Mus musculus: one gene and its partners. The protein of the gene in region 4 interacts with the protein of the main gene of each other region in a pairwise test. Links are inferred from orthologs where the notes say so. Each region holds a gene or a part of one and is shown on either strand. Other genes may lie near its edges.

Evidence for each region.
Region 1: the proteins of Tnik (region 4) and Actg1 interact in a two-hybrid assay, tested with the Homo sapiens proteins (2 studies listed by BioGRID and IntAct). The link is inferred for Mus musculus from reciprocal best matches to the Homo sapiens genes TNIK and ACTG1.
Region 2: the proteins of Tnik (region 4) and Nefm interact in a two-hybrid assay, tested with the Homo sapiens proteins (2 studies listed by BioGRID and IntAct). The link is inferred for Mus musculus from reciprocal best matches to the Homo sapiens genes TNIK and NEFM.
Region 3: the proteins of Tnik (region 4) and Pafah1b1 interact in a two-hybrid assay, tested with the Homo sapiens proteins (2 studies listed by BioGRID and IntAct). The link is inferred for Mus musculus from reciprocal best matches to the Homo sapiens genes TNIK and PAFAH1B1.
Region 5: the proteins of Tnik (region 4) and Hars interact in a two-hybrid assay, tested with the Homo sapiens proteins (2 studies listed by BioGRID and IntAct). The link is inferred for Mus musculus from reciprocal best matches to the Homo sapiens genes TNIK and HARS1.

What each region holds. Positions count from the first base shown.
Region 1 is NC_000077.6:120,345,174-120,350,195, forward strand, and holds Actg1 (actin, cytoplasmic 2), read right to left. Parts: upstream 3,323-5,022; 5' UTR 3,252-3,322; intron 2,925-3,251; 5' UTR 2,919-2,924; coding exon 2,796-2,918; intron 2,703-2,795; coding exon 2,463-2,702; intron 2,364-2,462; exon of another isoform or gene 2,319-2,363; intron 2,241-2,318; exon of another isoform or gene 2,177-2,240; coding exon 1,738-2,176; intron 1,646-1,737; coding exon 1,464-1,645; intron 1,361-1,463; coding exon 1,217-1,360; 3' UTR 514-1,216; downstream 1-513. UniProt on the Homo sapiens protein: Actins are highly conserved proteins that are involved in various types of cell motility and are ubiquitously expressed in all eukaryotic cells.
Region 2 is NC_000080.6:68,121,683-68,126,774, reverse strand, and holds the start of Nefm (neurofilament medium polypeptide), read left to right. Parts: upstream 1-1,770; 5' UTR 1,771-1,961; coding exon 1,962-3,035; intron 3,036-3,829; coding exon 3,830-3,954; intron 3,955-5,092. UniProt on the Homo sapiens protein: Neurofilaments usually contain three intermediate filament proteins: NEFL, NEFM, and NEFH which are involved in the maintenance of neuronal caliber.
Region 3 is NC_000077.6:74,721,063-74,726,292, reverse strand, and holds the start of Pafah1b1 (platelet-activating factor acetylhydrolase IB subunit alpha), read left to right. Parts: upstream 1-1,908; 5' UTR 1,909-2,294; intron 2,295-2,434; exon of another isoform or gene 2,435-3,093; intron 3,094-5,230. UniProt on the Homo sapiens protein: Regulatory subunit (beta subunit) of the cytosolic type I platelet-activating factor (PAF) acetylhydrolase (PAF-AH (I)), an enzyme that catalyzes the hydrolyze of the acetyl group at the sn-2 position of PAF and its analogs and participates in PAF inactivation.
Region 4 is NC_000069.6:28,601,863-28,606,367, reverse strand, and holds part of Tnik (traf2 and NCK-interacting protein kinase), read right to left. Parts: intron 2,193-4,505; coding exon 2,028-2,192; intron 1-2,027. UniProt on the Homo sapiens protein: Serine/threonine kinase that acts as an essential activator of the Wnt signaling pathway. Recruited to promoters of Wnt target genes and required to activate their expression. May act by phosphorylating TCF4/TCF7L2.
Region 5 is NC_000084.6:36,779,884-36,784,921, forward strand, and holds the start of Hars (histidine--tRNA ligase, cytoplasmic), read right to left. Parts: upstream 3,323-5,038; 5' UTR 3,218-3,322; coding exon 3,128-3,217; intron 2,887-3,127; coding exon 2,797-2,886; intron 1-2,796. Other genes in the region: Hars2 (histidine--tRNA ligase, mitochondrial isoform 1 precursor), read left to right, coding at 3,510-3,611. UniProt on the Homo sapiens protein: Catalyzes the ATP-dependent ligation of histidine to the 3'-end of its cognate tRNA, via the formation of an aminoacyl-adenylate intermediate (His-AMP). Plays a role in axon guidance.

The DNA.
Region 1 (5,022 bases), on a different chromosome or scaffold from region 4:
TCTATTGAAATGCATCTCTAGCCCTAATTCCAGAGCCTCATCACCCTAGACTGTTCCCATTGAGCAGCCAAACCCTAACCCTGTGCTGACAGCACCACCTTTGGATAACCAGTCTTACCAGGTTGTCTATGTGGCTAAGCTTCATTCCTGTATAGAGGAATAATGTTGCATGGCCTCTTAAAGGCTGCAATTGTTAAGACATCTAGGTTACTTCTCTTTTGACCATGGCTACATTCCTTACTTGTTCATGACTTGATAACACCAGAGCTGCCTGCTCTCCTCACCAATGCTTCTGTGTGAGGCCCTTCATTGTGGCTGCCTGTCTGGCCTAATTCCTTACCCTTTGAGAATGTGGCAGGGAGTGAACAATCTGCTCCAAGCATGGCTGGCTTTAAGCTGGGGTACAGGCTTTCTTACCAATGGGAAGGCTTTCTGCTGCTAGGCAACCAGACACACCTTTCCATTTCCCAACTCCACCCTACCCCACAGCCCTGTGCCAAACCAGAAAAACAATGGTCAGTTACTGCAGCACTTTTATTTCTTTACACAATGACGTGTTGCTGGGGCCTAATGTTCTCATTGAACAGTAGAAAACCAAAATTTGTCATTTCTTAAAGAATTGAGTACAAAAAACCTTACATAAATTAAAGAATGAATACATTTACAGGTGTCGATGCAAACGTTCCCAACTCAAGGCAACTAACAACCGATGGTGGTCAGGAGGGAAGAAACCAGAACTGAAACTGGGTCCTAAGGCTCGGACTTTCCCACCCTGTTAGACTGGCAAGAAGGAGTGGTAACTGGTTCAGGAACCCTTGCCAGCCTCAGGAAATCCTGGAAGTCTGCTGTTGGTTAATACCCTGCACAGATCACTCAGTGGTGCTCACAGAGATCCACCAGGCTGGGGCTTTCTCATCTACAGCGTGCTCTCCCCAGCCCCCAAGTGACCGAGCCACATGAACTAAGGACTAAATCAAGATATGCACAGGGTATTAAACATATACCAAGGGAGCAGTTAACTTGAATACAAGGTCAAAAATCAGCAACAAGTTCTACGATCCAGTGCTGATATCAGATACAAGCTTCAAGGACAAATTTCTTTTCAAAGGCTTATTCCAGTTTCATGAGGCTAGCATGAGGTGTGTACATTTGCCAGGGCAAATTGATACTTCAATATCAGCTCATGCAGCAGATGCCTGGCACCTGCTCAGTCCATCTAGAAGCATTTGCGGTGGACGATGGAGGGGCCTGACTCATCATACTCCTGCTTGCTGATCCACATCTGCTGGAAGGTGGACAGTGAGGCCAGAATGGAGCCACCGATCCAGACTGAGTACTTGCGCTCAGGGGGAGCAATGATCTGTGGAGGAAAAACACTGAATGAGCACTCATGCCCTTCCTGTGGGTCCCACTTCCCAGCCACAGGTCCTAAGGCCAGCTCAGGCCGGGTGGTAGCCACTCACCTTAATCTTCATCGTGCTAGGTGCTAGGGCTGTGATCTCCTTCTGCATCCTGTCAGCAATGCCTGGGTACATGGTGGTACCACCAGACAGCACTGTATTGGCATACAGGTCTTTGCGGATATCCACATCACACTTCATGATGGAGTTGAAAGTGGTCTCATGGATACCACAGGACTCCATGCCTAGGGAACAGAGCTCATTTAGCCACTACATTCTGTGTGTTCCATCCCTTCTGAGAGCCCCTTGGCTCCTAAATCATGTTGTGGACACCTACCCAGGAAGGAAGGCTGGAAGAGTGCCTCCGGACACCGGAACCGCTCATTGCCAATGGTGATCACCTGCCCGTCGGGCAGCTCGTAACTCTTCTCCAAGGAGGAAGATGATGCAGCAGTAGCCATTTCTTGCTCAAAATCCAGGGCAACATAGCACAGCTTCTCCTTTATGTCACGAACAATTTCCCTCTCAGCAGTGGTGGTAAAGCTGTAGCCCCGTTCAGTCAGGATCTTCATGAGGTAGTCTGTCAGGTCCCGGCCAGCCAGGTCCAGACGCAAGATGGCGTGGGGAAGGGCGTAGCCCTCATAGATGGGCACTGTGTGTGTGACCCCGTCACCAGAGTCCATGACAATGCCAGTGGTGCGCCCAGATGCATACAAGGACAGCACCGCCTGAATGGCCACGTACATGGCTGGGGTATTGAAGGTTTCAAACATTATCTGTGGAAAGACAAAGAACACCTGAGTGAGTGAGTAGCAGGGGCCCTGAGCCTCCCACACCCACACTCTGCATGCTGCATGCCACAAATGTGATGTGTGAAGAAAAAAAGAACAGAACGCAAGCAGAAACGCAAACAGAAACCTGGAGGCTTCAGGGAGGAAATGCCAGGAGAAGAGGAACAGAACCCTAGAAACACCAAAGAAACGCTTGAATGTCAGGAAATGAGGCACAACACAAAATGACTCGTCACGCCCAAGGGGAGGCAAGGTCCCGGCTCAAGCATACCTGCGTCATCTTCTCTCTGTTAGCTTTGGGGTTCAGGGGGGCCTCGGTCAGAAGCACCGGGTGCTCCTCAGGAGCCACACGCAGCTCATTGTAGAAGGTGTGGTGCCAGATCTTCTCCATGTCGTCCCAGTTAGTGACAATGCCGTGTTCGATAGGGTACTTCAGGGTCAGGATACCCCTCTTGCTCTGGGCCTCGTCACCCACGTATGAGTCTTTCTGGCCCATGCCCACCATGACGCCCTGCGAGAGAAAAGGCCGCGGTCAGACTCGCCCCACCCACCGCGCGACCCGGGCCCAGAGAGAACACAAGGGAGGCCACTCCTCTCAACTAACCTGGTGTCGGGGGCGCCCTACGATGGAAGGGAACACGGCCCTGGGGGCGTCGTCGCCAGCAAAGCCGGCTTTGCACATGCCGGAGCCATTGTCAATGACGAGTGCGGCGATTTCTTCTTCCATTGCGATCTGCGCAGGAAGAAGCCCCGGAATTAGCGCAGCCCTCACCGAACTCAGAAAATGTCCTCGGCCAGGGCCGAGCCACCCCGGAGGAGTGCAGTCCCCACCCCGGGCGGCGTAACCGTCGGCTACCGGCAGCGCCCCGTTCCGCCGCGGCGAGGAGGGGCTGCGCATTGCGTCGGGCCCCGCCCTGCCCCCAGCCGCGGCTGCAGACCCAGGCCCACCCGTCAGGCGCCCTGCGCTCCGCTCCGCTCCGCAGCGGTGCGGCAGGCAGGGTGAGCGGGAAGAAAGGGCCACAGGAAGTCACTGGGCCAAGCCCGGGGAGCGGCAGCTTACCGGCGAAGGACGCGGCGGCGACGGAGGAGCGGCAAGAAGCGCAGTGTAAGCCGGCGGCGGAGTGTGAGACCGACCGCGGCCTCCCCCGCCGCTATTTAAGCGGGAGCGGGCCGCGCGCGCGGGCGGGGGCGCGCGCGGCCCCAGAACATGTCCATATATGGCGATCTTTCCAAAAGCCGGGCGCCTATTGGCCCGCCCGCCAGGGACACGTGGGGCCCGGGCCCGCCCGCCCCTGGCCCGCGCCGCCGCCAACGGCCCCGCCCGCGCCGCCCCCGCGCGCTCGCGACCCCGGGAGGCCCGGTTCTTGCTCGCGGGGGTCTCGGCGAGTGGCGTGCGTGCGATCGGCCCTGCCCTGCCCCGGGACTGCCGCGTAGCAGGGAGGGCCCGGGCTGCGCCCCGAAACTGCCAAGCCCGGGGCGGGCCGCGCCCCGATCTGGGGTGAGTCCCGTGGCCCCCGCCCCTATGTGAATCCTGTGCCCCGCACACCCCCCAGGACCTTTCTCTACAGGGTCCGTGTGTGCCTGGCTGGGGACGGGCTGGAGGGATTCCCGGGGGTCCGGGGAGCGGCCATCACATCCCAGTCACGTGGGAGAGGGTCACCAGTTCTTCCACTTCAGCCATGTCCCTTTATTGGAGGAGGGGTCGTCACGGGGTTGGGTGTCCCTGGGCATCAAAGAAGGTGGTGGTGGTGGTGTGAGTGGGCATTGTGTTATGCTGGCTTTGCGGGACACATTGTAGGGAAACTGAGGCAGGGGAAGTCTCCCGACTTTCAGGATGGTCCAGCCCCGCCCCCCGCGTGGGTCAGCTGGCGAGACTCCTCTCCACTGATTATGAAGTCCGGGTCAAACTGGTTTTGGGCACAGAATGCTTAGGCCTTAGTCCCCTCCGGACAGGCGTGGGGGGCGGGCCGGCCTCGCTGCCCTTCTCCCGGCTGTTTGGAAACTTGTCACCCTTAGCAGGGTCGTGGCGCTGCCGTCCTAGATGGTGCCTGAAGAGAAAGCTGGCACGGGAGTTAACCGGGTTTTATTTGTAAGCTTCTGGAATGGTTCATTGTGGAATGAAGCGGAGGGTAGCAGTGAGGTGAGGGACTCCAAGGTCACAGGGCACAGAGCTTGATTCGAGCAGGTACGGGGTGCCACTCCCACCCTATGCACAGGCGCTCTCAGGCAGCCCTGCAAGGTCAGCTCCCCATCTGAGACATGAACACAAGACCCAGGGGGACCAAGCAGCCTGCCCTGCTTACCTGCTGGCCATAAACCCGTGCCAACACTCAGTCACCTTTTGTGCAACATCAGGCCTAGAAAGAAGGGCGCTGGCCCTGTGGTTGTACAGAGGTGCCTGTCAAATGGGAGCACCACCCATGAGGGGGATGCAGGGCTGGACCTCCAGGACCCCACCATGAGCCTACAGGAGCTAACAGCTAACTAACACTTGTAGGTGGGGGTGAGAGTCGTGGGGAAAGTGGAAGGTTTCGGTGAGCACTCACACCTCTGACACGCCCATGGCTACCCAAGAAGTACTGCCGGGGGCCTGGCCCTCAAATCCGAGCCTTCTCTTAAGACGCCTTTGTCTGCTTGTGTGCAGAAGGCGCTGCGAGCACGGAACGGCCATGTAAGGCCGGGTTCCCCCGGCGGGGGCGCCTTGTCCCGCCGCGGGACCAAGGTGCAACTCAGGTGTGCGGGTGGGGGCAGGGGCGGCGGGCGGCGCGCGGCCATATTTGGCGATTTCGACCCGCGCTCCGCCCGCCGCCGGGAGGCCAGTGGCCGCCCTG
Region 2 (5,092 bases), on a different chromosome or scaffold from region 4:
CTTTTAAAAACTCGCTTCTATCTTAAAATGTATGGGCTGGGAGCTTATAAAACTACAAAATCAAAGCCTCAGAAAGGGAGGCGTCTGTGATTACTTACTGATGACTACAACTCTGTCACATAATGAAGCAGAGGTTAGAGAATATATGCCCGAAAAGGTACAACAGTCTGCCTTCTCTGCTTCCAAGCGCTGGTTTATTCTGACCCACAGTAAGCATTTCACAACGCCCACTCCTTCCTGTGACACCCCCCACCCCACCCCCACCCCCACCCCCGCAGGACTGCAGTCCATCTCTCACTTTCTCTGTCAAGACTCTGAACTTTTTCACTCTGAATCTTCCCAAACTGTAATCCAAAATAGAAGGACATTTTCAGTTCAAATATACAGTCAAAGGAAACCCCTGTAGAATGTTTGTTTAAATAAGCATGCTTAAGGGATGGTGGGTCCAAATCGGTCATCAAAATCAACATAAGGAAATAGGTTGCGTTTTTAAATGGGGGCAGAGGGACCACCTGGCTTATTCAAGACTGAGATGAGGCTGTCCAGTTACCTTTCAATTAATTTAAAACTAATTCAGTTGCCCTGTCGGTTGTAACAGTACACGTAAGTAGTACCCAGACAGAAAGATGACTATGCAGTTTTCAAACTTAACATACACACTATCTCCCTGGGTTTTTTTTTTTTTTTCATCTCGGATTTCCCCTTCCCGGTGAGTAGTTGACCTTCAAATTTCAGGCCTTGTGTCTCCTCCTTCCCTAACATCCCTCACTTATTGGTAAAGTCAAACTGGGTTTCAAGTCTCTATTTTCCTTAACTGAGTTGAATGGCTTTTAGTTGATTTCAAAATCTGCAGTCTGTTCATTGTGCCAACTCTGCACTGTCTTAGTGTGGGATTTCCAGCTTGTTCCCTACAAACAAACAGCCCCTACAAACAGGTTTAATAGTATTCACTGGAGGAGATGAGCCAGAAGTGACCCTCCTCTGGACTCTGGTAGGCTGCGAACCCAGCAGAATCCCATGGGCACGCCTGGGCGCTGTCCTTGGTGCTGCCGGATCCTTGGGCGTCACAGCGCCTTACCTGCTGGAAGCTGCAGTCGTCCCCCAACAGTTAAGCAGACTGGAGTGCCACTTTCCACTTTTAACACAAATGACTACCCCGGCCTGTCTTCTTTGTCCCCTTTCCGGAGGTTTCCGGCGGGCCATTCCTCAAAAACTCTCTCTTTTTTTTCTTCTGCATAACTCTCAGCTCATCTCTTGCTGCTTTAAGACGAGGAGTGGGGGGGGGGGGAGACAAGAAAGACAAGGATGGATGGGGGAACAAAAAGAGAGTTGGGGGTTAAGGGGTGAAAGTCGAGGCTGCAAAGAAAAAAAGTCCCAGGGGAAAGGGCTTCAAGGGAAATGCCGGATGAAGAAAAAAAAAAAAAAGTAGAGGGAGAAGGGCCTCGTGGAGAGGTGGGAGGGGTGTGTGTGATAAAGAACAGCGGACCCTACGGCCAAAAGTAAGGAAGAAAGAGACTAAGAGGTAGGGGGCCAGACGAAAGTCAGGAAGCCAGAGAAGAGCTGCTCAGAGGGCCGAGAGTGGCGAGACAAAGAAAGGGCGCTGGGAAAGGGCACTTGCGCCAAAGCTGTGAACTGCAAACTGCTGGTGAAAAAGCAGAGAAGGGCAAGCTACCGGGTGACAAGAGGTCTGGAACTCAAGGGGACGCTAGGAAAAGGCCGGCCCGGCGACACCCAAGTGTGGGGTCCAGTGTGGTGCGGGCCCACGTGGAGCGGCCGCTGAATCACCGCAAGGCTTGTCTCCCCCTTCCCCCCACCCCCGGCCCGGTACCCGCAGTCCCCGCCTCCTCGGCCGCCGCCTCCACGGGGCGGGGCCCTGGCCCGGGACCAGCTGCTCCGCTATAAAGGGGCTGCGGCGAGGCCGGCAGAACGCTGTGACAGCCACACACCCCAAGGCCTCCAAGATGAGCTACACGCTGGACTCGCTGGGCAACCCGTCCGCCTACCGGCGGGTCACCGAGACCCGCTCCAGCTTCAGCCGCGTGAGCGGTTCCCCGTCCAGCGGCTTCCGCTCGCAGTCCTGGTCCCGCGGCTCGCCCAGCACCGTGTCCTCCTCCTACAAGCGCAGCGCGCTCGCCCCGCGTCTCGCCTACAGCTCGGCTATGCTCAGCTCGGCCGAGAGCAGCCTCGACTTCAGCCAGTCCTCGTCGCTGCTCAACGGCGGCTCCGGCGGCGACTACAAACTGTCCCGCTCTAACGAGAAAGAGCAGCTGCAGGGGCTGAACGACCGCTTCGCCGGCTACATCGAGAAAGTGCACTACTTGGAACAACAGAACAAGGAGATCGAAGCAGAGATCCAGGCACTGCGGCAGAAGCAGGCCTCGCACGCCCAGCTGGGTGATGCTTACGACCAGGAGATCCGAGAGCTGCGCGCCACCCTCGAGATGGTGAACCACGAGAAGGCTCAAGTGCAGCTGGACTCCGATCACTTGGAGGAAGACATCCACCGGCTCAAGGAGCGCTTCGAGGAGGAGGCGCGGCTGCGGGACGACACCGAGGCTGCCATTCGCGCGCTGCGCAAAGACATCGAAGAGTCGTCGATGGTTAAGGTGGAGCTGGACAAGAAGGTGCAGTCGCTGCAGGATGAGGTGGCTTTCCTGCGGAGCAATCACGAAGAGGAGGTGGCCGACCTGCTGGCTCAGATCCAGGCGTCGCACATCACGGTAGAGCGCAAAGATTACCTGAAGACAGACATCTCCACGGCGCTGAAGGAGATCCGCTCCCAGCTCGAGTGTCACTCAGACCAGAACATGCACCAGGCCGAAGAGTGGTTCAAATGCCGCTACGCCAAGCTCACCGAGGCGGCCGAGCAGAACAAGGAGGCCATTCGCTCTGCCAAGGAAGAGATCGCCGAGTACCGGCGCCAGCTGCAGTCCAAGAGCATCGAGCTCGAGTCGGTGCGAGGCACTAAGGAGTCCCTGGAGCGGCAGCTCAGCGACATCGAGGAGCGCCACAACCACGACCTCAGCAGCTACCAGGTAGGAACCGCGGCTGCGCGGCCGGCCTGCGCCAGCGCCAGCGCCGCGCGCCCCCGACACGACACTCGAGAGCGCGCCCAGAGGCCCTCTTGGTCGCGCTCCCTGGTGGCCGCATTCCAGTGCGCGCACGAGCTTCGCAGACGCGGGTTAGCCAAAGCCCAAGGTCTGTGCTCCGCCCCTCCTCCTTGTCCCACCCACTTGCCGCAACTACTTAGAAATTCCCATCTCCTTCAAAAACTTGCTTTCCTACGATAGATTTTACTGTAAAAGTAAAAAGGCACATTCTGGTCGTTGAGAAACACACCGTTTAATAAGCAGGAGCACAGATAGTCTCTTGTATTCCTGCCTCCTTCTTCGCTCCCCTTCCCCTCCCCCACCCATATCTCCACCCCTCCTCCTCACCCCCTTACTCTCCACTCCCCCCCCCCCCCGCCTCCAGCCGCGATGGGCGGAGCTCTCAAAGCTGGCTTCAGTCCAAAATTTGGGCGGGGATTGGGGGGGGGGCAAAGTCCGCTAGGGACCTTCCTCAGATTCCTCAGTGCTCCCTTCTAGGGGCATTCTAGGCTTGCCAGTCTCCGTGTGTGTTGTGCCTAGGAACTGTCTGGTTGATTTTTGTTGCTTTGTTTTGAATTTTACTATCATAAAAGAAGGAGGGATAGCTAGGAGGGATGTCTGCGAGGCTCATGGGACTGGCGGGGAAGGGGGAATTCCGGGGGTGGGTAGGAAAGGGCTCGGGGCAGGGAATAGCAAGTGTCTTGTGAAGGAAGTTTCTAGAGACTCCCTGTACCTTTCAGGACACCATCCAGCAGTTGGAAAATGAACTTCGGGGAACCAAGTGGGAAATGGCTCGTCATTTGCGAGAATACCAGGATCTCCTTAACGTCAAGATGGCCCTGGACATCGAGATCGCCGCGTACAGGTACAGGATCTCTGCAGACTTGGTCCAGACCCTACAGGCACTGCAGAGGCTGCTGCGAACAGCCTTCCCCACTTAAACCAAAGCTGGCCTAGTGAGACAGGCTCAGAGCCCTGACTCCCCAGCTCAGTTACGAACAGAATCCTAAGTATTACAGATACAGGTTTACCAACCTACTTCAGCTTTAAAGAGTGACTACGGAGAAGATCGGGGAGGAGGGTGGAACTGGGGGAGGGAACCAAAATATATTGTATGAAAAAGCCCAAATATGCACCAAAGAATAGTACTTTTGAGTTGCTGGGGGCGTAGCAATAGGTTTAAATTTTTGTTTCAAGCGTCTGTATGTCTGACAAGCAGATGAAGTTTTCATTTTTAGTATTTCATCTGATGGTTCTCTTTTATAAAGCCAAGGACAAACACCAGGTCATGCTTCTCTTCTCTTTCTGTTACAGCTTACTGTTGCCATCCTCTGGCTGAGACTAGATATAGGCACACTAGAATATAGGTGCACTTACTTTAAGTCTATGGATAATATACATGCATTCAATCTGGATAGAAATGTAAATTTAATATATATTTATCTACATATGTAAAGTGTGATACCCTCATATCTAGATCTAGACAAGCGTGTATGTATAAAAACATATAGAACTAGACATATAGGCAAATATAGGTTTGATCTCTTTATCTGTAAACTGGTTCTATCTAGGTCTCCTGAGTAATGCTGTCTTTCTGTTGGCCAGACTCAAAGCATACAGCTCTTGAGGAGGCAGTCACTTCCTGTAAGGCTGTTACAGCAAGAATAAGCTGCACTGTCTTTTTAAGGGAACCAAACGACTGTACCAAGAGACATTCTGTCACTGAACAAATTATAATTTGCTTCACCTATATTCGTATGTAGCTATAATTTAAATTCATCAACATTCTGACTTATGCTCAATAGTTTTAATTTTAAATTGAACATTTTATTTGCTTTTAAAACTCATAGAAATCTTGGCAATTCAAATGATGAGGGAGGACACCGTTTGGGGGACAAAGTGGGTTGGCCACTAGAGACCATTTTAGCACATTCATACTACACCTACAGCAACTGCATGCCTGCCGCGCAACTGCATGCCTGCCGCGCAACTGCATGCCTGCC
Region 3 (5,230 bases), on a different chromosome or scaffold from region 4:
TTGGATATAAGTGATAGGATCAAGCCTCTGTCTCATGCTGTCCATAGTTTTGACTATAGAATCCAAAAACTGAAACTCTGGACATAACCTTTTAAAGATTATTTGATTTAGTTTCTTGTGTTGATGAAGAAAAAAAAAAAAAGAACTAATCCCTTAAGGTCATTGGTTTATGTTTTTTAAAAAAATTTCTAGGGATAAAGATAGCCCATCCCAATACAAAGAGCCTGGCTTTGGTACTAGATAGTAATGGTTACATGAGTTACACATCAAACCTCAGGCCTTAACCCATGCAACATCTAATCTCACAAAGCCTCACAGCTATGTCAATTCTATAATGTTTTCTTTTCTTTCTCTCAGCAAGTACTCTCCTACTGAGCTGTCTCTTCACCCTTTTAAAAGTGATAAATTTAAAAACATTTGAGTTTTCCAGGTAGCCCTTAAACTTGTGATCCTCATTCTTCAGCCATTCCATGCTGGAATAAGGGATGTGTGCTTCCTTCCACCCAAGGTTTGCTCCATTATTATTTATTCTTGGAGACAGGGTTTCTCTATGTAGTTGTCTGTCCTGGAATTCACTGGGTAGAGAAGGCTCTTGAACTTGGAAAGATCCACCTGTCTCTGCCTCCAAAGTGCTGATATTAAAACACCATGTCCAGCTTTAAATCATTATTTTAAGATAGGGTCTTACTATATACACCATGCTGGCTTCAAACTCGTGGCAAGTCTCCTGCCTCCGTCTCCTCAGTGTTAGCATTACAGATGTGAGTCACCCTAGCTTGTTTATTACTATCATCATTGTTTTTTGTTTTTTATAAAAAGGATGCTCCTGAGGCTTGCAGAGAACTTCTGGGCTCTTGCTGGTCTCCTGCCTCCTGAGTAGCTTGGGCTACGTGCCATGTGCCACTTTGTTTGGCTACTGGGTTTATTTTATACTGATACTGAGGCCAAAAAGAGATATGATAATTTAGTCAAGGTCACATTCCCAGTGGTGACACCAGGATTCATACTGGAGACATTAACTCTGCAGCTTCCCAAGTGATTTTTACAGTATTTACCTTCATCGAGGGACGCAATAGAATCAGTTAAGCCTCAGTGCTGGAAAACACAAGTGGATAATGAAGTAATCTCATTCAATACTTAAATATCCTATATTGAATAATTCAGAGCCCCAAACCTTCCCTTTCAAAAATCAAGTGTCTCTTTGTGGAATAAATTGACATCAAATCCCCCCAGATTTGTCATCAATATACAATTCATAATATAATAAAACACAGACATGTCTTGTAGAGAATAAAGTTCCAGGTCTTTCTGTGGATTTCAGTTTCCAGAATCTCTGATGAATACATGTGACTAAGGAAAAGAATAGCTGAATCACATCTACAGGCGATTCCTTCCGATTAAAAATCTGTACCAGAAAGGAACACAAGGCAATCCATCTGCCTTTTAACCTCAACAGCTCTTCTGCCCAAGCCCACCAATTTACTTTGGTCCTTTTGGGTGGGTGGGTAGGTGGGGGATGGGGAATAATCCCACAGGCTAAGGCAGAAAGGAAGCATCCTGGCTTGGCTCCTGCTCTAGCCAGCAGGGGCCGAAATGCCAGTGCACCGGGTACCCGCGGTCCGCCGGGACAGCGCAGTGACCGCTGAGGCAGAGCAAGAGTCGTGATGGACGCCAGCCGTCAGGCAGTTTAGAGCAAAAGGGAAGCTTCCCAAGGGATCAGGGGGCAGAAGCGAGAAAAGCCGCGGACGGGACGCAAGCTCGCCGGTCGGCTCGGGTACAGCCGCCAGCTCACCCTGCGGAAGGGCGCGCGGCCCAGGCCCAGGCCCAGGCCCAGGCCCGGCCCGCGCATGCGCCGCGGGCCCTCCGCTCCCCTCCCTCTTCCTGGCGGGTCTGGGGCGGCGGCGGCGCGGTGACGTCAGGGCGTTGGGGCAGCTCCTGTGACAGACGGAGCTGGAGCGGCGGGGCGGCGGCGGAGTCCGGCGGCCGAGATAGCGAGTGAGGGAGCGAAGGAGCAGCGAGCCGAGAGTCCAGGGAGCGAGGAGGACCCGGAGGGGAGCGCTCAGGCGCGAGCGAGAGGACGAGCGAACGCTGGGCTAGGGCTCGAGCCCCGGAACGGCCGAGGAGCCCGCCCGCGGCCCTCCCCTCCCCCTCCCCGGGACCGGGCCCAGCGCGCCATCCTCCCCCTCCCTCCCTCCCTCCCTCCTTCCTCCCTTCCCTCTCCCTCCCCCTCCCCCGCTGGTGGATGGGAGTGAAGGACGGAAGAGGCCCTGCGGAGGCGGTGGTGCAGCGCTCCGGTAAGGCGGCGACGCTCTGCGCCCTCCCCTCTGTCTCTTCCATCGCGCTCGGGTGGCTGCGGGCCGGGCCGGCGGCCTGACGATGTGGCTGCGCCGGTCCCCTCCCTCCCATTCTCCCCTCCCCCTGCCGCCGCTGCCTCCTCCTTCTTCTTCTCCTCTCCTCGCTCTCAAAATGGCGGCCGCGACGGCCGTTGAGTGAGAGGCACCGAGGAGGGGGCCCTGGCCTGGGAGGGCGCTGCCCTGGCTCCGGTTCCTCCGACCCTGGCAGTGGGCTACTCAGGCTGCTGAGGGTTCAAGCCGTGGCCTCTCGGGCGGCATCGCCCTCCTGCCGCCGTGACTTAGCAAGAAAAGTATTCTTGGGTGGGAAGGGCGTGGATAGCAGGTCGCTCTCTGATCTTGGGGAAAGGGCTCAGCCCTCCTGGGCCGCGGAAGCGAACCCGCAGTCCCCACCCCTCCTTGGCTGGCGACTCGCCGCCGGGGCTCCAGCAGCTACCAGGCCTTCCAGGCGTCGGGTTCTCCGCTTGTCCTTAGGTTGAGGGTGGACCCGGGGAGGATGGCCCGCCGCTCAGGCCCTCGGCCCCCCGGTGCGGTGGTGGTCCAGCCTCTGCATTCAGTAAAGATCTGCAGCATCCACCCACCGAATCGGGCAGGATTTTCCTTTTTGCTACTGACTCCTCGCACGGGAGTTGTCTTTTGACGTTGCTAACACTGAGCTCCCAGGTTCTCGATCATTCCCTTCATCCCATCTCTCCACTCCATTAGGAAACGCTGTGACTATTTACCCTCTCTAGCCTCCCAGGTGAGAAAATGTTTTTTTGAGACGGTGGGCTGATTTCGTCTCCCAAGAGGAAAGAATTTCAGTCTTGAGATAGGAGAAAGCAAGGTGCCTGGCTTTATTTGTTATCCTGCCTGCTTTTTCCAGTGACTTAGCAAGAAACTCCTTGGGAGGAGCGCAGGAAATTTTCTGTTGAGGTTGGGTTTGGGTGTAATTCCTATCAGTATTTTTGGCTAAGAAATTGTGCCTTTGAAGAGTACCAGATTTGTGGTCTCATTCTCAATGGGCGATGTCATGTCAAGGATACCTCCTCCTCACCCCCCCCCCCCTTTAAGAGACAATTGGGAGAAAATAAAATTACTGCTTTTCTTACCTTTAATTTCAAACACACCCTCCTAAAGATTCACAACCTTTAAAAGATCCAGTAACATAAAGGTCATTTTAGCAATTCTCTTTTTGTTGGGTTGGCTTGTTTTGTGTGAAATTTCTTTTCTGGGGGTGGGATGGTGGAGACTTTGTTTGGGCCTCATGCCAGTAATATTGTCTTCTCTCTTCATTTTGCCACAGCAGTTGTTTGCTGTGTTTCCCCCTGCAGTAGAGCTTGATTGCTGCAGGATTCAATCCCTTAATTAGGAATATTCTTAGTTGGATATGCTAGTAATACTATGCTGAATTTACATTAAAAGCTTTAACTTTAAAATTTGATTTGGTATTAAGGCTTTAGCAAGCTTTTATTTCTAATATGTGTCTTTCAGGACATAGTTGTGCAAATAATTGGCAGTTACAAATTGTGTTTTTTTATTAACACAGAATATGAATTTAGAGTAATTTACTCCTTCACGGTCTATTTAAAAGATCATTGTTTGATTTCAGAGGGAAGGATTTTCTGTAATATATTTAAAGCTGCTGGTATATATAATTTTAAGAGTCAGAAAGGAAACCAGTTTTTTCGCAAAATATTTGTGCATATGTTGGTTTTGACAGAGCATACCCTGTTTTGGTACATCCTCCCACCCCCTTAAAAATGGGCTAATATTTGTGGCTGCTATAAGCAGCCATTGAGCCGAGAGGACTGGGTGGAGTAAGGGTGCGCCAGCAAAGCTGTGAAATGCTCAGTTGCCCTTTCACTGGGTTTTTTTCTCATCCTTAATGATTGTAAGGTTATTCAGTATTAATTGTAGGGACAATTAAGGCATTTCTCTATAGTGGATCTTAGAATCTCAGTTTTTCTACCTTTTTTTTTTCTTCTTCAAGAAGGGCATTGAGTAATTGGAATAAAGGCAGTATCCTTGCTCTGAAACAAGTACTTACTGTCCATGTGTGTGCATGTATTAAAAAAACTCCACATATGCTCTGGCTAGTTTTTTTTTTTTAATTATTCTAGCCAAATGGGTGTTAAATTAATGAATGCTAGGGATATTTGGCTACAAAAAGCATGGTATAGTGAAAAAAAAAATCTAGTTAAGAATACTAGTTTTCACTAAAATAGTTTTTTTTTTTTCTCTTGATGAACATCAAAGATGAGAAAATAGACAGTGGTTATTTTGTATTAAGAGCTCTTTAAATAGACCTTTTCTCTTGTGTTGCTTCTTGCATAGGACCTTTTCTGTGATAAAGAGCATAGCTCACTTTAGTTTCTTGTAAAGAATTGTAAATATGACAATGTAATTCTAATGAACCTTATGAGTGTTGTAACTTTGTATTTACATTTTTTGCTATTTTTCCATGTCCATTATGAAGTAGAAAGGCTATTATGGTGATGGATGAGAACATTACTATATTGTGTCTCAAATATCTTTAGCCCTACTCTTCCTAGTTAAGAGTGGTGAGCCTCCACCCCAAGCCCACGGCCACCCAGGAGCTTACTGATAATTTGATGGAGAGTACAAATGTGCTTTCATTCCTGGTACTTTCTCTGAATCTTACTTAATTTGATGGAATCAATTTTAAAAATCACAATTTTTTTTTTTTTTTTTTGGAGGCAGGGTTTCTCTGTGTATCCCTGGCTGTCCTGGAACTCACTTTGTAGACCAGACTGGCCTGGAACTCAGAAATCCGCCTGCCTCTGCCCCTCCAAGTGCTGGGACTAAAGGCGTGCGCCCGGCCCACAATTCTATATTTTTAAAAGTTTAATGAAGTCTGTTTGAATTTCTTTTTTTTT
Region 4 (4,505 bases):
TCGTCATGACTGGCCTTTAACAACTCTCAGAAATCCACCTGCCTCTGTCTTCTGAGTGCGGGGATTAAAGGCTTGTGGCATACATAGCTTTCACTTTGATTAAGACATAGTTTCTCACTGGCTTCGAACTTGCAATTTCACTAAGCTGCCTGGTCGAGAAGCCCTAAGGTAGATTCCCCTGACTCTGCCTCCCCAGTACTATGATCACAAGCCTACACGGGCCATGTCTGGATTTTATGTGTGTCTTCTAGGGATCGAACTTGGGTTTTTAAATGGAAAGCACTTTATCAAATGGGCCACCTGATTTCCACAGGACTGGATGTCCCCACTAAAAACACACACCATTTCCAGGTATCAGGATGCTTCTTTGGCACTCAGGCAATGTGGTACTGTTTGGGATTTTTATCTGACCTCTTAAGAAAAAGCATCAAAGTCTAGGGTGCAAGGGATACCTCCACCTGTGCTGCATTTTGTGAATACTGAAGCCGGTCCTCTACCTCTGGGTGTATACTGCACTCATGGGAGCCCGGGTCCATCCATAGGTTTAGCTCACATGGATCATGGCTGGGAAAAAAAAAATCTAGAGTGCTTCCTGACTAAACTGCTCATTCAAGCAGTCTCGGCTTCCTATGGGTTTCATACAAGGCCCTGCCAAACCCACTTTGGTCTACAGTGCCTATTAGAATGTCACAGAGACATGCTGGAAGAATCCTCAAAGCTCTGTTCTGCTGAGTGTTTTGAATAGGCCTTGTAAAGTTCACATGGATGCAAATATCATTAAATACAATGCATAACATTAAAACAAAATGCATTGCAGTATCTAGTACAAAACCCACTCTCACTTTAGAAGATCATTCCAGACACCCCCTAAAACCCTGGAGCACCAGAGAAGGCTTTCCCAGAGAGTCTACTCTTAGTTCCTTATCATTTCAGAAGGGGCATTTCCCCACAGTGCTTTCCTTAACAAGGGAAGGGTTCATTATAAGATCAAAGTAGGAGGTTTTTAAAAGAAGAGAAGCCCTTGTAAAACTCCCCTTTTGGAGCGTCTATAAAAGAGAAGTATATGCAGATAAAAACAACCAGAGGAAGGTATGTTGAGCTCATTGGTGCTGAAAAATCTTGCATTTTGTTCATTACCACTAACTTAAAATGCAAGAAAGCCTTGATTTTTATCATTATTCCTTTAACCTTTAATTCAAACAGCAGTTCATATTTCAAAGGTGACCTCCAAATGCACTGGAGAAGCCTTACCACAGCTGGGTGCCAGGAAGAAATGTAAGATATTTGGGTGAGAAAGGTTGGATTACTTTTTTTTCCCCTCATGGAATTTCCATCTTCTATTTCACTTTGAATTTCATCTTTGAAGAACATACCAGAAAGCTCCTTTCTTAATGACAAAATAATCTCTCCCCACCAAACATCTTCATGCAGTGCTTCTCAGTCCCTAAAGGGCACCAGAACCAACCTGGAAGGCTTTTTAAAGACTACCGGAGCCAACCCTGCATCTCTGGTCAGTAAGTCTGAAGCAGACCCAGGAATATGCATTTTTACCAAGTTCATCGGATGTTGCTGGCTGCCAGGTGAGCATGCCAGGAGAAATGCTGGCTTAGAAGGCACACATTGATTCCACCAATCCCATTTCATTTCTCCAGTTCAGATTTCTACCCATATTTCAAGGAAGGGAAGAATACATGTATATTCTACCTCAAAGGTCCGTATATGAATTTTAATTCTTCTGATTGTAACTACAAGAATGGCTGTTCCCACCCTGTACTCTTCAACACTTGCAAGGGTCTCCACAGGAGCCACTTTACTGAGAGTGACTTTGAAGTCGACTCAAAGTCATTAGCTCCATGCTTCCTGTCTGTATTCTGGAGCCTCACAATGCAGAGAGGGTTCTGTTCCCATGGACTTTATACTAAGGGTCTTTGCTTCAACACTTCTCTGCCATGCTGGAATACTGTAGGCTTTTTAGTAAGCTTTCCTGGGCACAAGTGTCCACTGGAACAGAAAAGAGGTTATTATACCTGGGGGTCAACAGGTCTGAGCATTGGGGGTGTCCTTGCAGGCTGAACCCCACTAATGCTGAAGGACTCTGATCTTGGGGGCAGGTTGGGGTCCGAGATCCTGTTGGCAACCTTGTGAGGCATGGCAGGTGAACTCTGTCGGTTGAGTCTTGAGCGTTCTTCTACCTAGAAAGTCAAAGGAAAAGAAAATCTCAATGGTTAGAAGTCAGTGCTCTGTCCTGTAAGGCTTTTCTATAGCAACCCACAAAGCCATTCTTACGCCCCTCTGATGAATTCAAAGAGCCCAAATGTGTCATTTCTGTTTCATAGCAAGATCGTTTTCTCTCCTTTCTCTTCTTCTCTTTTCTTTTCTCCTTCTTATGGAAGTATTTCCAGCAAGTATGCAGGGCCCTTGAGCTCTTGACCTTACAAGACCCATTAGCTTGTGCTATGTCAGGTAACTGGGCATTCTTGGCCTGCTAAGAGCTTGTCTTGCATCCCTTGAGCTAATATCCTGCTGATTAGTCACAAAGCCATAGGATCAGTCAGGGAGATGGTGTGCCCGCCAGATAATCAAAGGGGACTATAGTAGGCACTGAGACAGCTTAGGGGGAAAATAGAAACTTGCTTTGGGTTGACTCATAAGACAGGGGGACAAGAGCCACACAAGGACTGACTGGCGAGGGCGAAGTGGCACACAAGATCTCTACTCTTCTTTGCAGGCTGCTGATAGGCACGTGGGCGTCCTGGATGCTGCTTAATGACATGGCTGTCTTACGCAGACTTCCTGTATCATTTTCTTTTTCTCTTTAGGGCCCTTTCCTTTCAATTGTCTCTCCCTGCTACCCAAAATACACTGCTCCTCCCCTAGCTTTCCATTCCCAGCATGGACTCTTACCCTACACCCTCCAACTCTCCTCCTGCTCCTTCCTGCAATCTGGACCTTCCTGTTCCCCTCGCCCCCACCTTCTCTCCTTTCTACCCATTGTCATGTCTTATTCTCCAGTGTCTCAGAGAGCTAGTGCTTCTTTATAAACAGATTCTCTGTCACTACCAGTCAGTCCATGTTTATAGGAGCAAATAGACTGTTCCCAAGGATGACCGTAAAGAGAAAGTTAAATGAACATGATGGGCATCAAAAAGCAAGGTGGAAGTCATTAGTTTTTTTTTTTTCTCTTTTAATTTTTTTTTCTTTCCATTTTTTATTAGGTATTTAGCTCATTTACATTTCCAATGCTATACCAAAAGTCCCCCATACCCACCCACCCCCACTCCCCTACCTGCCCACTCCCCCTTTTTGGCCCTGGCGTTCCCCTGTTCTGGGGCATATAAAGTTTGTGTGTCCAATGGGCCTCTCTTTCCAGTGATGGCCGACTAGGCCATCTTTTGATACATATGCAGCTAGAGTCAAGAGCTCCGGGGTACTGGTTAGTTCATAATGTTGATCCACCTATAGGGTTGCAGATCCCTTTAGCTCCTTGGGTACTTTCTCTAGCTCCTCCATTGGGAGCCCTGTAATCCATCCATTAGCTGACTGTGGGCATCCACTTCTGTGTTTGCTAGGCCCCGGCATAGTCTCACAAGAGACAGCTACATCTGGGTCCTTTCGATAAAATCTTGCTAGTGTATGCAATGGTGTCAGCGTTTGGATGCTGATTATGGGGTGGATCCCTGGATAAGGCAGTCTCTACATGGTCCATCCTTTCATCTCAGCTCCAAACTTTGTCTCTGTAACTCCTTCCAAGGGTGTTTTGTTCCCACTTCTAAGGAGGGGCATAGTGTCCACACTTCAGTCTTCATTTTTCTTGAGTTTCATGTGTTTAGGAAATTGTATCTTATATCTTGGGTATCCTAGGTTTTGGGCTAATATCCACTTATCAGTGAGTACATATTGTGTGAGTTCCTTTGTGAATGTGTTACCTCACTCAGGATGATGCCCTCCAGGTCCATCCATTTGGCTAGGAATTTCATAAATTCATTCTTTTTAATAGCTGAGTAGTACTCCATTGTGTAGATGTACCACATTTTCTGTATCCATTCCTCTGTTGAGGGGCATCTGGTTTCTTTCCAGCTTCTGGCTATTATAAATAAGGCTGCTATGAACATAGTGGAGCATGTGTGAAAGACTTTTGTTCTAGGTTTATCTTACCCTGTCCTGTATTTCTTAAGGGTCAGTGTAATGGTTGTGCATCTCAAAACGGCAAGACAATACCACACATTACTCTCCTCACCCTGACAACTCATCTGAGTGAGCTCTTAACTCATTTCCGTTGACCCAATATTCAGGTCTGTTTGCATATGTTTACACACCAGCTAAGGGTTTTTAATTTTCTCTTTGCTGCCTGATTTCAAATAAAATTCAAAAGTTCTATTACTTCTTATCTTTCCTACCCTCCTTTGAATCTTTCTAGAGAGAAGTCCAATTTCCTACTCAGAGTAAGTCTGTTTTAACCTTAAACATTTGAACATGCTACATTAAGCCACAGATAAAAAGTGGTC
Region 5 (5,038 bases), on a different chromosome or scaffold from region 4:
AGATTTCTCTTCTTTTATGTGTATGGGTGTTTTACTACATGTATGGCTATGCACTGTGTGTGTGCCTGGTGCTCACAGAGGTCAGAAGAGGATGTTGGAGCCGCTGGAACTGGAGTTACCATAGCTGGTGAGCCACTATGTGAATACAGGGGATTGAACCTGAGTGCTGTGGGGGAGCAACAAGTGCTCTATCTCTGAGCCATTTCTCCAGTCCCATTTGTTTTAATGGTGAGTGCAAAGAGTGTGAATCACAGTTGGTTTTGGTTCTCTGTATCTGCAGGTTCAATATCCATAGGTTCAATAGACTGTGCACTGAAAATACTTAAGGTTAAAAGAAAATTCTGCCAATACTAAACATATGGATTTTTTTCCATGTCACTATCTTTGAGCAATAACTACTTATACTAGATATTAGTAACCTAGAGATGACTTAATCATGGAGGATGTGTATAGGATACGTGCAAATGCTATACCATTTCCCATAAGGAAAGTGAATAGCTGTGGAATCCCTTAATACTATCTAAGATCAAGCCGTGTTCAACTTCCCCCAACTACCTCAGTAATAACTTCTCATGATTACCTTATTTGATCAGACTCTTACCGTCTTATTTTTAGATGATATATACATTTAATCAGCAACAGCTCTTTTTCTTCCTTTTTGTTCTTCTTTTGTGGTGTCTCATTTGGAACTCTAGGTCTTCTAATACTGAGCCACACTCTTAATCCCCCACTCCCACCTCTATCACATTATTTATTTGTTGAAGAAACTAAATATTTGTCCCAAAAAGTTTATTACATTCTGGATCCAGTCACCAATACCACCGATGAGTCATTAACCTGTTCTCCACTCCGTGTTTCTCCACCTTAGTCTAAAGGCCTAATTACATTCAAATTCCCCTGATGAGAATTCATAGGTGGTGCTGTGTAATTTTTATTGCATCATATCTGCAGGGACATAATATCTGCTGCTTCTGCTTTAGTGACATTAAGACTGGTCATTGGGTTGAGGTGTGGAGGGACTGTTCGATTAAAAATTCCCTATCTTCTCTCCATTCAATACTCTGAGCAAATTATTGATCATTTCTTTAATGGCATGTGTGCAGATGCCCTTGGAGGCCAGCTGGAATTACAGGCAGGTGTGGGCTGCTGTATGTGGGTGCTCAACCACTCAGCTCTTCTAGAAGAACAGCGAGCACCCTTAATTCTGAGCAATCTCTCCAGCCCCCATTTCTTTGAGATTTTAAACTTCTCTTGAGTCTCTGAAAAAGAACTGTGAGAGATGGGTGTGGTAGTACATGCCTGTAATTCTAGCACCTGTTAGGATCAAAATTTCAAAGCCAGTCTCTGATATATATATGTAATATATACACACACATACATACATACATATATACAGTCTCTGATTGATATATATGTATGTATGTATGTATAAAAAGTCTGAGGCTGGTCAGGGCTTGTATTTTTTGTTTTTGCTTTGTTTTTTTATTTTTTTATTTTTTGAGACAGGGTTTCTCTGTATAGCCCTGGCTGTCCTGGAACTCATTCTGTAGACCAGGCTGGCCTCGAACTCAGAAATTCGCCTGCCTCTGCCTCCCGAGTGCTGGGATCGAAGGTGTGCGCCACCACTGCCTAGCAAATATATGTTTATTTCCAGTCTTACATTCTGGTAAATAAACTGAATTAACTACTAAATAATACTGCATTACTCATTATTAATTAACGTAGTTAGTAAGAAATTACATTAAATAACATGAATAAACTACTAAATATTGTTGCAGAGGGCAGGAGAGATGGCTCAGGGATTAAGAGCTCTTGGCACTCTTCCAGAGACGTTAATTTGTTCAATTTCCAGCACCTTGGCTTACAACTGCCTGTAAGTCCAGCTCCAGGGAATCTGACATTCTCTTGTGGCCTCTGCATGTACTCATACTCACTTGCAGAGATCCGCACACACATACAGCAAAGTGAAACTTCAAAGCCAGTACATTAACAGAACTATGTATGACATGCCAAGGGAACCCAGTAAAGGTGCAGAGGTCTGTTTATAGAAGTTACAGAATAGCATCTGAATCGAAGTCCTGAGGCTGAGTTAAGCATCTCCAACTTTACCTGGTTCTATTTGTGCGGCTTCTTCTAGTTCCTAGGAAGTATCACAGTTCTTGTCTGCTTCAGAGTTTCTGATCTCTGCCGAGCTTATGATTCTAACAGCCTTTCCCTGGCTGTCTCTAACCTGCTTGAGAGGTCCATCATGTCACTTCCTCAGTTTGGCTCTTTATACACTGTGCGCACAAGTGTGTATCGGTGTATGGTTATAGGACTGTGTGGTCGCAGGTGCCTATGGAGGCCAGTTACAGACAGTTGTGAACCACCTGATGTAGGTGCAGGGAATCTAACTTGGATCCTCTGCATGCTCTTAACTGCTGAGCCATCTCTCCAGCCCTAAATTTCTTCACATCACCACTCATATTTTGTAACAGCATATTCCTGGGTGGGATTATTTGCCCTGAATCTTAGTGGAATGCAAGCCTCGAAACGGCAGGCATCCAGTATGGTGTATTCAGTGCACAATGACACCCACATAGACTTACTCAATAACTACACAATGAATGAAAGGAGTAGCAGTTAGCAGGCTGTCTCCCCTGATCAGCCTCGTTTCTGTCATCACTGCCATCGCCGAATGACTCAGGTTGAGTTCAAACCAGCCCAGTGCCTACCCCACCAACTACTGGCTCCTCTGCAATATTTCTGATTGTGGATCAGGGCCTCTCTCTGAGGCCTCATACAGGAATAGTTTACCTTGGGGGTTTTGAGCACAAACTTCTGTTTGCCTTCATCCTGGCCCAGCTGTGCCTTCAGTTTTAGGAGTTTCGTCACCTCCTCCTCGATCTGTGGAGGGAAAAACGCCGCTGGACTGACCATTCATCACTCCCCTCCCTCCCGTCCCCTCGATCCTCCTCTCTCTTAGGCCTCGCTTCTCTCGGGACCCACCCTAGCTATCTCCTCACTCAGCCCCGTTCACTCTACCAGCCTGGTTCCTTCATCCACATGTCTGTCCTCCAGCCAGATCACCTTCTATGCTCCTCCGGTTTTGTCCCGACCCCTCTCCTTCCATCCGAGTCGCACCTACCTGCTCAGCGGACGCTTTCTGCTCCTTAAGGCCCCTCACATGCGCTCCCTGGAGTCGTACCAGCTCCTCCAGAGCAGCACGATCTGCCATCCTGCCTGCCAGCAGGAACTGACGGCTGTCTAAAACCCGCCTTGGTGGACTCAGCCTAGGTTCGGATGACTTCCGGTTACCGAGTCCCCGCTTTCGTGCCTAGAGCGTGTCTGGCGAAGGTGGAGGGAACACTTCCGGGTCAGGGAGCGTGAGATCCTCGGTGTTCAATCCCACCATCCGAACTAACTCCGATCTCAGGTGTTTCCAGCTCTCGGTAGCTTTCCAGAAATCGGACTGGCCTCGTTCCCAGTCCCTTGACTTCAGTTCCAGAAAGCCGGCGTCCTGCAGCACAATGCCCCACCTGGGGCCACTGCGTCGCAGGGCCTGGGCTGCGCTGCTCGGCCAGCTCCTGCGACCTCCCAGCACTGTGTGCACCCGCGGCTGTCATAGCCAGGTGAGCCGCCCTGAGCCGGCTCCTTCCCGGTGGAGCCTCCTAGCCTGAAAGTCTAGACTCGTGGTTTCTATTGTATTATTACAATTGGTTTTTATTTTTTTATTTTCTTTTATGAGTATGGGTATTTTGCCTGCATGCATGTGTGCTCTGTGTATACGCCCGCCTAGGCCAGAAGTGGGCGTTGGAGCCCCTGATCCTGGAGTTATAGCCGGTAGTGAGCCACCTTGCGGATACTGGGAGTGGAACCCAGGTCCTCTAAAAGAGCCATCACTCCAGTCCTGCAATTAGTTTTTTTATTGATTAGCCACTTTGTACTTGCACTGCCCTAAGCGTTTATTATTGAGGAAATCTCAGAAGTTGAGAGTTTTATCTCCATTTTACAGTTGAGTGAGCGGAGATCATAGGGTTAAATGACCTCTATGGATATATAGCAACTGAGTTATATGAGGTTTCTTCTCAATCTTGAACATATTAGAATTTGGAAAATATCGATACAGCTATTCCCCCAAACTATAAATGAACTGAGTTTATGCCCATCAGGTGAATTTACCGTAACATGAAGCTCAGAGAAACATTTTCAGACATAGTTGGATTTTGGAATTAGAATCAGGGTTTGGGGACTTGAACTCAGGTTTCTTTTCGGGGAGAGAGACTCTCCAAAGTATGTAATCATCACTATTTGTATTTCTGGAAGGACCTGTGGGTTTTTAGGCCTGATTCCTTTTTATAGAAGAGTTTTCTCTATTAATTGGTGTGGGTGGGTGTTGGTGCGCTACACAGCATTTCTGGTCTTTGCTTTGCCTGTATAGTCTGGGGATTGAGCTTAGGTGGTCCTGATAAGTGGCCAGCAGCTGTGCTCACAAGCGTCTCCCCAGCACTAAGTCAGTGGTTGTTTTACCTGTCTTCAGACAGTGGATGCTTTGTGTCACCATGCGCAACATTGTCACTCATAGCATTTTACTGTTTCTGTTGTTCAAACAGGAAAGTTATTCCTATCATTCCATAGGTGTGTGTGTGTAAATTGTGGGAACTGAATTTCTCCTTTGACTACGTGAATGGGTCTCAGGGATCTAACTCAGGTGGTCAGACTTGGTGGATATCCACTGAGCTATCTTGCTGGCCCAGGTTTGTTCTTTTTTCTTTGGCGGGTTTCTGTCTTTATGCTCCACTTACCCTTTCTCCAGGTCTGATTCATTCATCCCCTCCCTCCTACTTTCTTTCTTTCTTTCTTTCTTTCTTTCTTTCTTTGGTCTCACTGTGTAGCCTTGGCTGGCCTGGGGCTCTCTATGTAGCCGCTGGTCTTAAATTTGTAGTGATCCGCCTGCCTCTGCCTCCAACTATTGGGATTAAAGGCATGTACCACCTTTTTTGCTATACGCGTAAGAACTGAGAACTGGAGTTGTTTTTGTTTGTTTGAGACAGGGTCT